2 linked regions of the Drosophila melanogaster genome follow. The protein of the gene in region 1 purifies or fractionates together with the protein of each later gene. This does not show direct contact. Each region holds a gene or a part of one and is shown on either strand. Other genes may lie near its edges.

Region 1 (4,656 bases):
GTGTGATCGTCGAGTTTATCACCGCCTTGGTGCCCTCGACACTGATGATGCGGTACAGATTTCGCGAGCTGTCGTAGAAGAAGCTAACGTTGACCGCCTTCATGCTGGCCGTGATCCAGGTGCGCTTCGTCTTCGGATCGATGTGGAAGACGTGCGCCTGGCAGGTGAAAATCGGTTGTTCGCTAAGGGTCATAAAGGGATTAAAGCGACAAGCGTGTGATTAATTAAAAATTCCATTTAGAGCAGGCAATAAATTGTGCTTCTGTGCTCGTGTGAGTAAACTATGGCAAAGCATTCTTTTACTGTGGTTTATTAGTCAACAGGCACTGTGTAATGCATTTATAATTAGTAGTCCTTAAGTCCCAGGATAATCCTCGTGGTCCTTATTTGATAAAGTAGGTCGATATATGTTTGTTTTTTGCGATCTGGCCTGATGCAATGACAGTTTGTTGCGGGGCGCAGGGCCCCCATCAAATCAATTCCGTATCCGTGGTAGCCTCCAGTGCCTTTATTTGTACACATATACATATATATATCTTATCTATTACCTATCCGCCGACATCGTTCGCTGAGCTCTATAACTTGTGTCTTCCCGTTATCGCTGGCGACTGTCGACCGCCGACTAAATTGCATTATGTGCTAAGCCTTTTCCGCAGCCTTGCTTGTGATTTTTGATTCTCGGGCGGAAAACACGCACGCACACACCTGCACAGTCACACACACCTGCACACCCACACACATGTAATTGGCCTGCCCACGCGTGTGCGTGTGTAGGTGTATGTTTGTGTACATATATATGTATGTATTTACGCCGCCCGCTACACACAGAACGGCAGCAACAACAACAACATCATAGGGGGGAGATGTCAGCTAGTTCGGCGTCGATTTTTCCCACAGTAAAAACGGCAGGTTTAGGCCGGTTTGGCCGCGCCCATCGGTCTTACCCCATTGTATTCGTTCTTTGGCGCTGACTGAGTGCTTCCGCAGCAGTTTATACCAATGCTAGTCGGTTTTACTTATGAATTTCACGGTTAAAAAAAATAAAACACAAATGTCTAGAGCTGGAACCAAAATCGATGTTTGTATGGTGCTATCGATGTTTTTACTGGCTCAACACCATCGATGATTTATTTATTAGCTTCCAAGCATCGATAACACATGAGCTCGTATAAGAGCAATGATTCTTATCGAATAATTTAATCGCTGTAAAGCGAATTGCAAATTAATTAAGATAAATAAATACTAAATATGTTTGTCTGTAAGGCACCATAACAATGTAATTTTTTCAAAAACATGTGTAGCTGTTGAAGCATTGCATTTAAATGACGGAAGTTACAAAATAATTTCAGATAAAAGTGATAAGTTTTTTTGACTGTCTAGTTGTGCGCCTACATGTAGTTTGAATATTTGTTAGATATGGTTTTCTTTGTGCGGTGTGGCAGCATTAGTTTTAGTACACATTTTTCTAATACTTGACGATAGGTCAAATGGCAACTCCTGATCGGCAATAATATTTGCATATAATTTAGCTTTGAACATAAATAGACTGCCACAAAAACTTTAAAACAACACATTTTACTTCTATATTTTTTGGACGAAATAGAACCACTGAAAAAATTCATGAAATGTAGTACATTTTGTAGTGAAGAACCAGGGTTGGTTTACGGATTTTAGCCGTTTTGCCATCTGGTAACACTGACCAGTTTCTCATCGTTAAAAAATCCATTTGGAATTCGGTTTATTTAATTAAAAGCAGCCGGGACACCTATGCGAAGGGCAAAAAGCGGCCAGAGTTGTTGTTGCTGCTGCTGCCCAGCCGCCGTGCGATCGATCGGGGTACGTGTTCCGGCGTAACGAGGAGTACGAGGCGATTTTCTCGCAGCCTCTTTTTTTTCACACGAACGCCGTCCCACTAAACCGAAATTTCAGGTGAAAAACTCATTGGAACGCATTTAAAAGCGGCGTAAGCTCGCACCTGCTGCTCGTTTAACCCTGTTTCGGGTATATGTGATTGCAAAATGCGACAGCGACACACCTAGGCACACAAAATATGCCAGTTATGCGAAAGAGAAAAAGTACTGTGCCTGTGTGCGTGCGCGTGTGAGTGTGTATGCCGTGCGTGTGCCCCCGCCTGCGACAGTGTGCGTATGTGTTGGTGTAGAAAACTTGTTATCAATGCGGCGCCTATGATAAGTCTCATTAGACATGTTTCTCCCACTATGCTGGGTATTTCAATTGGAATGGCTAGCGAACGTGTGTGTGTGTAGTAAAATATCCGGACTCCATAGAATGGACATTTTGTATGAATTAATTGAATTTACTTTATAAATTCAATTAACATAAAGAATTTGATTTTATGCAGAAGAAGCTACAGCATTAAGTATCTCCCATATGCGGAATCACAGACAAAAATTCAATCACGCCAATTCATTTATGATCAAGGATCAAATTCAAGAAACTTTAGAAAAACGCGTCTAGTTTTTGTGCTTCGGTAACAGCGATAGTGGTACAATCTCCGCACAAAATGTACCTACAGCCAAAATCCTGTAACCTTTATTCCCCTCTCTGTCTCGCACAGTCTGGCGGCCCCAACTAAATAATGTGGAACATGATGTGCGACGTAATGCCCACGATATCCGAGGATAGCATCTCGCAGCGCTCCTCGCAGTTTAGCGGGGAGGATGCCAACTTTGAGCAGCTGATGGTCTCCATGCTGGACGAGCGGGACAAGCTGATGGACAGCCTGAGGGAGGCGCAGGAGCGGCTTAACGAGACGGAGAACAAGCTGCGTGACGTCGAGAAGGAGCGGGACAGCCTGCAGCGACAGATTAACGCTAATCTGCCGCAAGTAAGTGGCCTCTGCATGCTGATACCGCAGTTTACCTAAAATCTTTTCCTGATCTTTCTAGGAGTTTGCCACCCTGACCAAGGAGCTGACGCAAGCGCGGGAGACCCTTTTGGAACGTGACGAGGAGATTGGGGAGCTCAAGGCGGAGAGGAATAATACCAGGGTAAGTGATTTTCGAAAATTTAGATCCTTGGTATTTCAATTACTGAGACAATTGAGTAATGGTTAGATCAGGTAGATCATGACAAGATTTGCTAGACTAATTTATTAATTTAGGTATTATAGCCATTGCTAAATTACATATCCCATTGTTATTCAAACAAGAAACAGTTGTAGGTACTTGCTTTTGCGAATTAGTCACATATACCGGGAACAATACAAAAGTTTACTCTGTCCGTCTTCATTTTTATTTCGAACATGGCTTGTCTATTTGTTTACTTATCAGTGACTATACAAACATTGTTACAGCCTTTTAAGAATTAGTTCTTTGTATTCACATCCGTCTTAAACCATAAAAAGTGAAGTAAACTGTATTTATAAGTCCTTTCCGCTTCATTGAATATCAAGAAAATCAGTTTTAATTAAATTTCTACGGTAATTTTACTTTTAAAGAGACAATTTAAACGTCGGTTACTGCGTGAAATAATATATTTTTAATGATCTAACTTGACTATTTCAGCTTCTCCTCGAACATCTGGAGTGCTTGGTGTCCCGCCACGAGCGTTCCCTGCGTATGACCGTTGTGAAGCGACAGGCTGCCGCCCAGAGCGGCGTCTCCAGCGAGGTGGAAGTGCTCAAGGCGCTAAAGTCGCTGTTCGAGCACCACAAGGCGCTGGACGAGAAGGTGCGCGAGCGGTTGCGGCTTTCCATCGAGAAGAACAACATGATGGAAGAGGAACTCAGCTCTGCCAAGGAGGAACTGGCCCAGTACAAGGCGGGCGTGGTGCCAGCTGGCGTGGGCAGTGGCAGCGGAGCAGGGAGTGCCGCAACCACCGCCGGTGGTGGGGGCGCCGAGAACGGGCTCAAAGAGAAGGTGCGTTCCACATTCGAAATGCAGTCAAGCATGTCCGGTTTAATATATCTCTTCTATTTTCCAATACCCTAGATGGCGGGCGTGGGCGGATCTGGTGGCGTTAATGGCGAGGCAAATGAGCTGAACGACTACGCAGCCAAAACCCACGAGCTGCAAACCATTATTGAGAAGCAGGTGAAGATTGCGGATCTGTTTCCAGTCTGCATATGGTGAACACTTTTTAAAACGCTCTTTCCTTGTCAGACCTCGGAACTTTCACAATGGCAGCGACGCGTTTCTGATTTGAACAACAAGATTAGTGAGCTTGAGGAGAACATGTCGCGAGTGCAAAAGGAACACTGCAAGGCCCAAGACCAGTGTGCCAAGCTGCAGCGGGATCTGCGCGAGAATGTTGCCCAGAAAGAGGATCAGGTGAGTGAATAATACTCACAGCATGGTTTCAGTTTTTTACTTATACGTTCATTTTTAGGAGGAGCGCATTACCACATTGGAAAAGCGATACCTGAATGCTCAGAGGGAGTCTACATCGTTGCATGATCTCAACGAGAAACTCGAGCAGGAACTACGGCATAAAGAGGCGCAGCTCAAGGTGGGTAAAACCAAGGAAATTACAGCTTATGGTTAAGGCAGGCATACATATCTTTACTTTTATTCATGAGGATCGATTTTTTTTTATTATATTTCGATAAGCGCACAGTCCATTTGTTCAAAAAAATCCATTGATTACTCATTACCTTACTGTAAAGTTATTTCCAATTGAATAGCAGATAAATTT
Region 2 (7,636 bases), on another chromosome or scaffold:
TGGGCGATTTGTTTCATATAAATATATTATGGGTATGCTGCTCTAACTGCTAGGCTAAATAGCGTACAATATTTGCAAATTTGAGTCGTGGAGTAGTAAACATGTTTTATATAGTATGTGTGTATAATAGTGGCATGTGGCATGAATGTCTGGATGTCATATAGCTATCTATGTATGCATGTGGCAGAAATCGGGGGATATATATGTACTCAATCAAGGTGGTAAACGCCTACGCCTTAAGTTAGACAATTCAAATTCAACTGTACAATTATATTCACGCGTTTACTGAAATGGTAAGAGCATAGTTGTGATACCAGATTATTGCACAATTAGATCTAATTGATAGGGCTATAGCTAAAGCAACGCTAGCAGCAACATGCATTGGGTAAAAGATATAAGAAATAAGAATATATATAAGAAGGTCATTCAGGGCTAAGCTTCACTGTGGCATGCGTTGGAGCAAAAGGGTAATCTTGAAATGCATATGCAAACGAAATTGGAGCTAGACAATCGATCTCGTTGGGGATTCTTGATCTTTATTGGTACTATGCATGATCACTAAAGATAGGTATTTTGTATGTGTATATATATATAGCAATTGGCTTGCATCCGTTGCCACGCCCCCACTCTAAGCCCCCAAATGCAAATGCATCGTTCAAAATTGTTTGTTCTCTAGTTGTGCGGATTCTATCCTTCATCTCTGGACTTGGACTTGTGCTTCTATATATGTATGCTTTCTGGCCTTAGTCTGGAGTGTGTAGGTCTATTTGGGTAAGTTCTGTGGTTTGACTATCCTCCTCATTGGAGCTACGAATATTGGTGGCGTCGGCTGGCCAGCTCTCTCCTAGTAGTTTCCATCCGGCGGCGGCGTTGTGAGGTACTCATCCGTCCGCTTGTGCTCGTTTAGCGCCTTCACGGTTCCACTGTCCGATGGCAGGTCCGATTTCCGGCGCAGCAGCGGCTTGTCCTTGTTCCGTTCGCCACGAATCTGTGTGGAACGGGAAGGGGGGTTTGGCAATAGAAAATGGACCCGCTTCTGACACTAAGGCATCGCAGCACACACACACACACACACTGGGCGGGTGAAGTTACACGGTGGTGCGGGATGATTGCGTTACGATATCGAGTGCTGTGGTGCTGGATGGAAACTCGATGACCACCAGTTGGACAACACACGACTACGATATATATATACATCTACACCCGAATGTCGAATTGTGTTACAAAGGTCTGAGATCGAGGAGTGTTGTATGGTTTCTGGTTCTGAGTTGTTAACAACATGATACATTTGACACTAGTTTTTAATAGTTATGTGCACAGATTTTACTCTAACTGGGATTCATGCTTAAAAATGGTGATTCACTTGAGGAAAATTATGTTAAGTGTTCAAATTAATAAATGAGAATCATATTGATGTTACAAAAGGAACGCGTTCTCTCATTAAAATGACCACAAATGAGTTAAAAGATGGACCAAAGTGTAATTAACATCTAAGTAAGATAAACTACATATTAATTCCGCCCAATTCGTATGCGGTTAACCAAAAGTGCAGGAGAAAAGTTGTTGTGTCGTGGATGAATTTGCATGGATGCGTTTGGTTTGGCAGACAGTGAGGTTACCAAATAATTAATAAATAAATAGACAAAGTTAAAGATATACAAATATGTATTTTTTTTTTTTTAAATGACATGAGTGTGATTATTTTAACAGACATTCGTTCGATTAGAATTAGAGTTGAAACAGAGTGGGCCTTAGCTGGGCACAGCTCACAGCGACGCCAGGATCACACGTGGCGGATTAGTAGTTGTTTAGTGTTGTTAATGTGGCAAGTGCCTGTCTCACCTCTCGGGGCTCCTGGTGCGCCTGTTTCTGTGGCGGCAGCGGAGGCGGCGGCTGGCGCGCCCTCTGCTCGCTCTGATCATACGCTGAATCGCTGTTCTCACTATATTGATCGCACAGGGCCCGGCTGTCGCTGACCGGCAGGCAGTCGTTAAACCGGCGCGCCTTTGTCCACTCCGGGTTGGTCTTGGCCAAGCTCTCCACCTGTTGCCAGAGCTCCTCCCTTTGCGACAGCTTCTCACGCTCCCTGCAATGCAAAAAAAAAAAAAAAACGCCAATGTTTAGTACAAAGTAATAAAACGTGAGTGCATCGTCCCATGGAAGTTAATTATCAACTAAAGTTAACACATACATCTGCTTCTCTTGCTTGTAGTTCTTGCTGCACTCGTCAAAAAGCCGCTGATCTATCTCCATGAACAGCTTGAGTGCATTGTAGATCAGACCATGGATGGTCTTGTTCCAGTGCGTCTTTGAGTTGCGATTGAGCGCTGGGAACATAATGGGTAATATCACCGCCGAGTTATCCGTTATCAGCGACATAATGTACTCGTTGTTCCAATAGTACAACGCACGTTCGGCCACCTGGAAATGAGGCGAAGAGACGCACTTGGCTATTTGGCGGAACAGCGGCACCATCACCTTCTGGAACTCGGCCGGCTCAATTACGTCCAACAGCTCCTCCAGCTCGTTCAAAAACATAACCTCCTTGGGACTGTGCGTCTTGGGCCAAAATTTAAGTAGGCTTCTGCAAGAATATTGAAATATGGCAGCGATAGGCTAATTAGAAAATGCGCAAAATAAGGAATTCTTTACTCACTTGATGACCGCCTCCGATAAGCTAGGATCCTTCTCCAGGAACTGCACCACACAATAGGTGAGCTGCGGATGGTAGACCGAGAGGCTCTTGGCTTTGTGCAATGGCAGCAATACCTTAAGTAAAAATTGTTTATGCTCCTCCTTAAGCGGCAGAGCAAAGCCATTGATAATGCTACCCAGGATTTCCAACAATTCGGCTATGCCATTATGATGCTCCGTTTCATAAATAAATCTAAATGTGGAATGCGATTAGTAATGTGAGGCATTAACCTTATAGATATTCCAATGACGAGCTCACCTGTAAAAGACATTGTTGATCTGCTTTCTAATAAATGCTCTCAAGCCCAAAAATTTTCCATAGATGCGATGTAAAACAGTCTTCAGGAAATCACGTTCACGTGGATCCTCCGAATCGAATAAATCCAATAGTTGTAATACAAATTGATGGTCGATAAAACGTTTTGCCATGCTTGGTTGAAAATCTGGTGACTCCAAGAAGCGCAAGAACAGCTCGTAAACGAGTTGCAGATGCGGCCACGAGGACTCCAACGTGGGCTCATCCTCCTCCGGATCGAATTCGGCACCATTCGGGTTGGACGATGGCGGCAGAGTTCGGAAAAGGTTGACAGCAAACTGATGAGAACAGATAAGTATGTTGTGGTAAAAGCATGTGATATTATTTTAAATATGTAAATTAGTAGCTTACCATATTGATCGCCTCCGGGTAAATAACTTCGGTTATTACGCCATTTTGGTTGGTGAGGAAATCGACCATTTCGTGCAGAGCCGCCCGCTTCACCTCCTTGAACTTGAGGTCGCTGAGCGGCTCGGAGAAGTCGAACAGTGTGCAGCATTGCTGGATCTTCTGTATGAACAGCTCCTCACGTTCACTGGCGGCGGTCTCTATGGAAATACAAATGAAATCATCATTAATTTTTTTAAATATATAATATAAGTGATAGATATATCAAACAAAATGTAAGCCATATAAAATTGACCTTAATATAAAATTAAAAAAAAAAAACCTACAACTACAAAAACGACCAACCAAAAGCAGGCAAGCGAAACTCAAAACGAACATAATGAAGATCGGAAGAAAGGATCAAGTAGCCGGAGGACCTCAGGCCCAAGGGCAATGGCTGGAATGGCTCCATCCATCGCCATTGGCCCGGATCCATTCGGGATAGCAACCTCGCAGTGCAGGCAGCGCCATGGCAACCGAAGCGGTGGGTGGCGTGTAGAATAGATTCCGGTCGCGAGCCCTTCCCGGACTGCCCGTCAGCTGTTGGAGCGTCTGGGGCGAGGGCTGAAGACCCGCCGGATGACCCGGCAGTATGTCACCGTTCTGCCGGATGCTTAGGCTCGATGTGGTCACCACCATGGTGGCGTTAGGTGTCACCATTACTGCTGATGACGCAGGTGCTGCGCCGCCATTGCGCTGGCCAATTCCCAATGAGATGCTAATGCCGCCCACCAGATTCTGGGCCACCGTCGGACGCATCTCCTCTGCGGGCACATCGCTGGTGGTGGGAACAGCGGCGACGGCGGTGGCGGCGGACGACGGCACAGCCGCCGCAGAGGATGGGGATGATGAGGAGGAGGTGGCCGCCGCTGCTGCCGCCGCCGCAGCACTAGTACCCACACTCTTGGTGGCATTCAGTATGTTCTTTATGGCCGCGGCCGCGCTCACAGGTGACTGGATGATGAGGAAGCGATGAAATGAGAGCAGAGTATGGTTTTGGTTTATCAAATTTCGGTTTGTTCAATTGGGATGGAGTTAGTGTTGGTGGATAGTGTGTGAGATGCTACTAAATGTATTAGCTTCTAGCGTACAATGTAAATAAAACTTTGATTAACAAGGTACTTGAATTGTTATTTTTTTCTTTGAAACTTAGTTATCGTTATCCAAAAAGCTAACACAATTAGTGAAAGTTTGGAAGAAAGTGTAAAATTTGTGGTTTGTACTTGGAGGTGGTGATGTGGTTATGTTTTGGGTTTTCAGATCGCTGGGTGTGTGTGTATGTGGACAAGACCAAGCTGCAAACCTTGCTGGCGGCGATGGAGCTGCTGGCTGCGTTGTTGGTGGCGGTGGATGAGGAGGAAGCTGACGAGGAGGACGCCGCCGAGGCAGAGGATGCCGCAGCGGCTGCCGCCGATGCTGCGGCGGATGTGGCCGCCGAGAAATGTTGTGCCAAAGTGGACACAAGTGAATTGCTGCCGCTAGCAGCGCCCGTTGACGTTGTTCCAGATCCAGATCCAGATCCTGCTCCTGCCGCGTTCTTCGACATGCCGGCATTCGAGGATAGCGAGAGCGAAGAAGTGGAGGACTGCGATCCAAATGGCGAGGAGGCAATCAGTGCAGCTGCAGCCGAATTCGCTCCACCACCGTATGTGGCGGCCGAGGATGAGGCCGAGGAGTTAGCAGCCGCCGAGGCTAGCGAGGATGAGGCCGCCTGTGAAAGCGAGGACAGGGCCGAGGCCGACGAATTGGAGCTGGTGGACGAGGACGATGGTGAGGAGGATGTGGTGGGTGCTCCGGATCCGGCTGCTCCTCCTGCTGCTGCCTCTGGCGGTGAGAGGGGCGTTTTCCGCCCCTCGAACTTGGCCTTTAGCTCCTCCACGCTGCTAAACCTGAATCGGCTGCCGGTCTGTTGCTGCTCCTGCTGCTGATCCTGCACCTGATCGTCCAACTCGTCGTCGGCCAGCTGATCTAGGCCGCTGTGAAACGATGGAGATTTGGGTATGCGTATGCCGAGGGCATAATACCCGGCTGCAATGGGCTGCGTTTCCTGCTCCTTGCTGGAGGATTTAATGGGCGCCGGTTTCTTTTGCTCTTGCTGCTGCTGTTGCGATTGCTGCTGCTGCTGCTGCGGCTCCTGCTGATGTTGCTGTTGCTGCTGTTTGGGACCTTTGAGCCCGTTGCCCGTCAGCAACATAGCACCGAAGACCATCTCATTAGTGCCGGCACTTGGAGCAAATGGCACTCGGTTTTAATCTTGATACGGAACGCTTGTTTTTTTTACCAGCCGCCCCCGCCGACCAACAACAACACATGAGAAAGACTACACTAGAAACTCAATTTGGGCACGCTAAGTATGAAACTATAGAATCTGTAATGGAATTGCAATATAGATAATGGTTTAGATTAACGCCAAATGCGATTATGCGCTGATGGTAACACAAAACGAAATGAAATGCAATTGGAAATGAAAATGGAAATGACAACGCCTCTGCTAAAATTCTTCTTTTGCCTCACAAATGGCCATAATTACGTGGAAAAACTTACGGTTCGAATGGGAACAAATGAGGGAATAGGATAGGAGAGCAATTAACTTGGGAAACGAATATTTTCAACTAATATTAAAGTTTTCGGGGCACACGACGTTCACGGTCTTGAAACGGTTTTTTTTTTGTTGCTTCGACTGCTGCGCCAATCGGAAAAATCGATATCGAGAGAGAATGAAATGGAGAGAAATTTGGTGAGCAGCAGACAGAGAGAAAATAAAGAGAGAGAAAGTGGGCTGGTGGGCGAGCGAGCCACAATAACAATAAAACCTAATAAAATAAAATAGTATTGAACAAGCGAAATTTGTTTATTCGATTTGTGAGTCGAAACCGCCCAAGCAATTAGCAGAAAGGTATGTGAATAACGCAATGCGATGACATTCATGCTGCACAGAAAAAAAAAGTGTAGCAATTTCATAATCATTACGCGCAGATATGTACATATATGATTTTCAAAAATATTGAATTTGCTTTTTTTTAAATTAATTCCCTGCAGGATACAGTTTTTCTAATTATTTGTATACACAAGTTTAAATCAATCGAATACATTTGTGTCATAAAGAAATGCCGGTGTATATATGAAATTTAAGACGGTCTGAGAAATCCTCTAACGATGCTTTCTCCCAGTGTAATGAGAGGCTGCGGAGAGAGCGCATGTGTTGAAATTCCGGTGAGTGAGAGAGGTGGAGAGAGGTGTGAATTGATGCGGCTGCTTGGTTCACATGTGTGAGTGGCCGTGCGTCAGTGTTGCCACCCACCTAATCAGACGACACTCCCTTGACCTTTAACTTTAACAAATAATAAACAAATTACAACAGCTGAGCGAAATTAATCAAGCGCCGGCCAATCAATATTCCCAACAAGCTTGCAGGTCGTAGGTACACTTTACAGAGAATGCCTCTTGTAAGTTAAAGCTGAACTTATAATCATGGAAATTTACCGGAGTTAATTGACATAATATATGTAATTATGCATCGTTAATGGGAATTACTACGATTTATACAATCTGTTTTGAGTGTATAGTTGCATAAAAACTTAATTGACGATGTTGGTAGACAGTAAGAAAGGTAATTTTATATCGCCTAAACGGAACCCTGCCCTAAAATGTATGCTACGACATGGCTACGACCAAGTTCTACCCCATGCAACCGATCTGCAGGCTTAAGAGATATCGATCTGAACAGCTGGCAGTACATGTATTATAAAGTAATATACTAAGTAGTAGGATCTACTCCAAGGCTACTCACTCTCGTTTAGCGGAATGAGGGCCGTCAGTTCGCAGTTCTTGGAGGCATTGTACCGGGCGCTGGTCTGGCGCTTCTCCTTGCGAACGATCGGGGTGCCGGTGATGTTCAGGACCTTGCTGATCGGCGTGGGCGGCGGTGCATCGTACGGTGGTGTGTTGTCCTTGAGTTTGTTAGCCTGCAAAGGGGCATAAATGACACTTATCTGATTATCTTTTCCCATGTCAACGGTTTGGCTTATGCTTAGTAAATGAAAATAATTTTAACAACGAATGCAAAGCAATATGCGGTCAAATAAAAAGCATACTCAAAACGTAGCACTTGCAAAATCAGAGCAAAGCAGTTCAGTTCGGGATGGTCCCTCGCTGCCATTTTGGCCGGCCATCGCTTTTACCTTGGACTGTGCGAATCCTTGACGCCTAAGTTGAGCTGCCTGTGGGTGTGTTTTAGTC

Evidence for each region.
Region 2: the proteins of Liprin-alpha (region 1) and wrd purify together in Drosophila melanogaster (affinity purification with western blotting; one study listed by BioGRID). This does not show direct contact.

Annotation. Positions count from the first base shown.
Region 1 is NT_033779.5:6,722,249-6,726,904, forward strand, and holds the start of Liprin-alpha (Liprin-alpha), read left to right. Parts: upstream 1-1,654; 5' UTR 1,655-1,836; exon of another isoform or gene 1,837-1,929; 5' UTR 1,930-2,145; intron 2,146-2,578; 5' UTR 2,579-2,599; coding exon 2,600-2,848; intron 2,849-2,909; coding exon 2,910-3,011; intron 3,012-3,527; coding exon 3,528-3,881; intron 3,882-3,953; coding exon 3,954-4,055; intron 4,056-4,124; coding exon 4,125-4,292; intron 4,293-4,350; coding exon 4,351-4,470; intron 4,471-4,656. Other genes in the region: homer, read right to left, coding at 1-182, 549-562.
Region 2 is NT_033777.3:18,171,255-18,178,890, reverse strand, and holds wrd (well-rounded), read right to left. Parts: upstream 6,048-7,636; 5' UTR 5,942-6,047; intron 5,766-5,941; 5' UTR 5,607-5,765; coding exon 4,701-5,606; intron 4,352-4,700; coding exon 3,847-4,351; intron 3,559-3,846; coding exon 3,362-3,558; intron 3,289-3,361; coding exon 2,954-3,288; intron 2,888-2,953; coding exon 2,657-2,887; intron 2,585-2,656; coding exon 2,192-2,584; intron 2,087-2,191; coding exon 1,843-2,086; coding exon of another isoform or gene 1,798-1,842; exon of another isoform or gene 1,650-1,797; intron 989-1,649; coding exon 845-988; 3' UTR 516-844; downstream 1-515.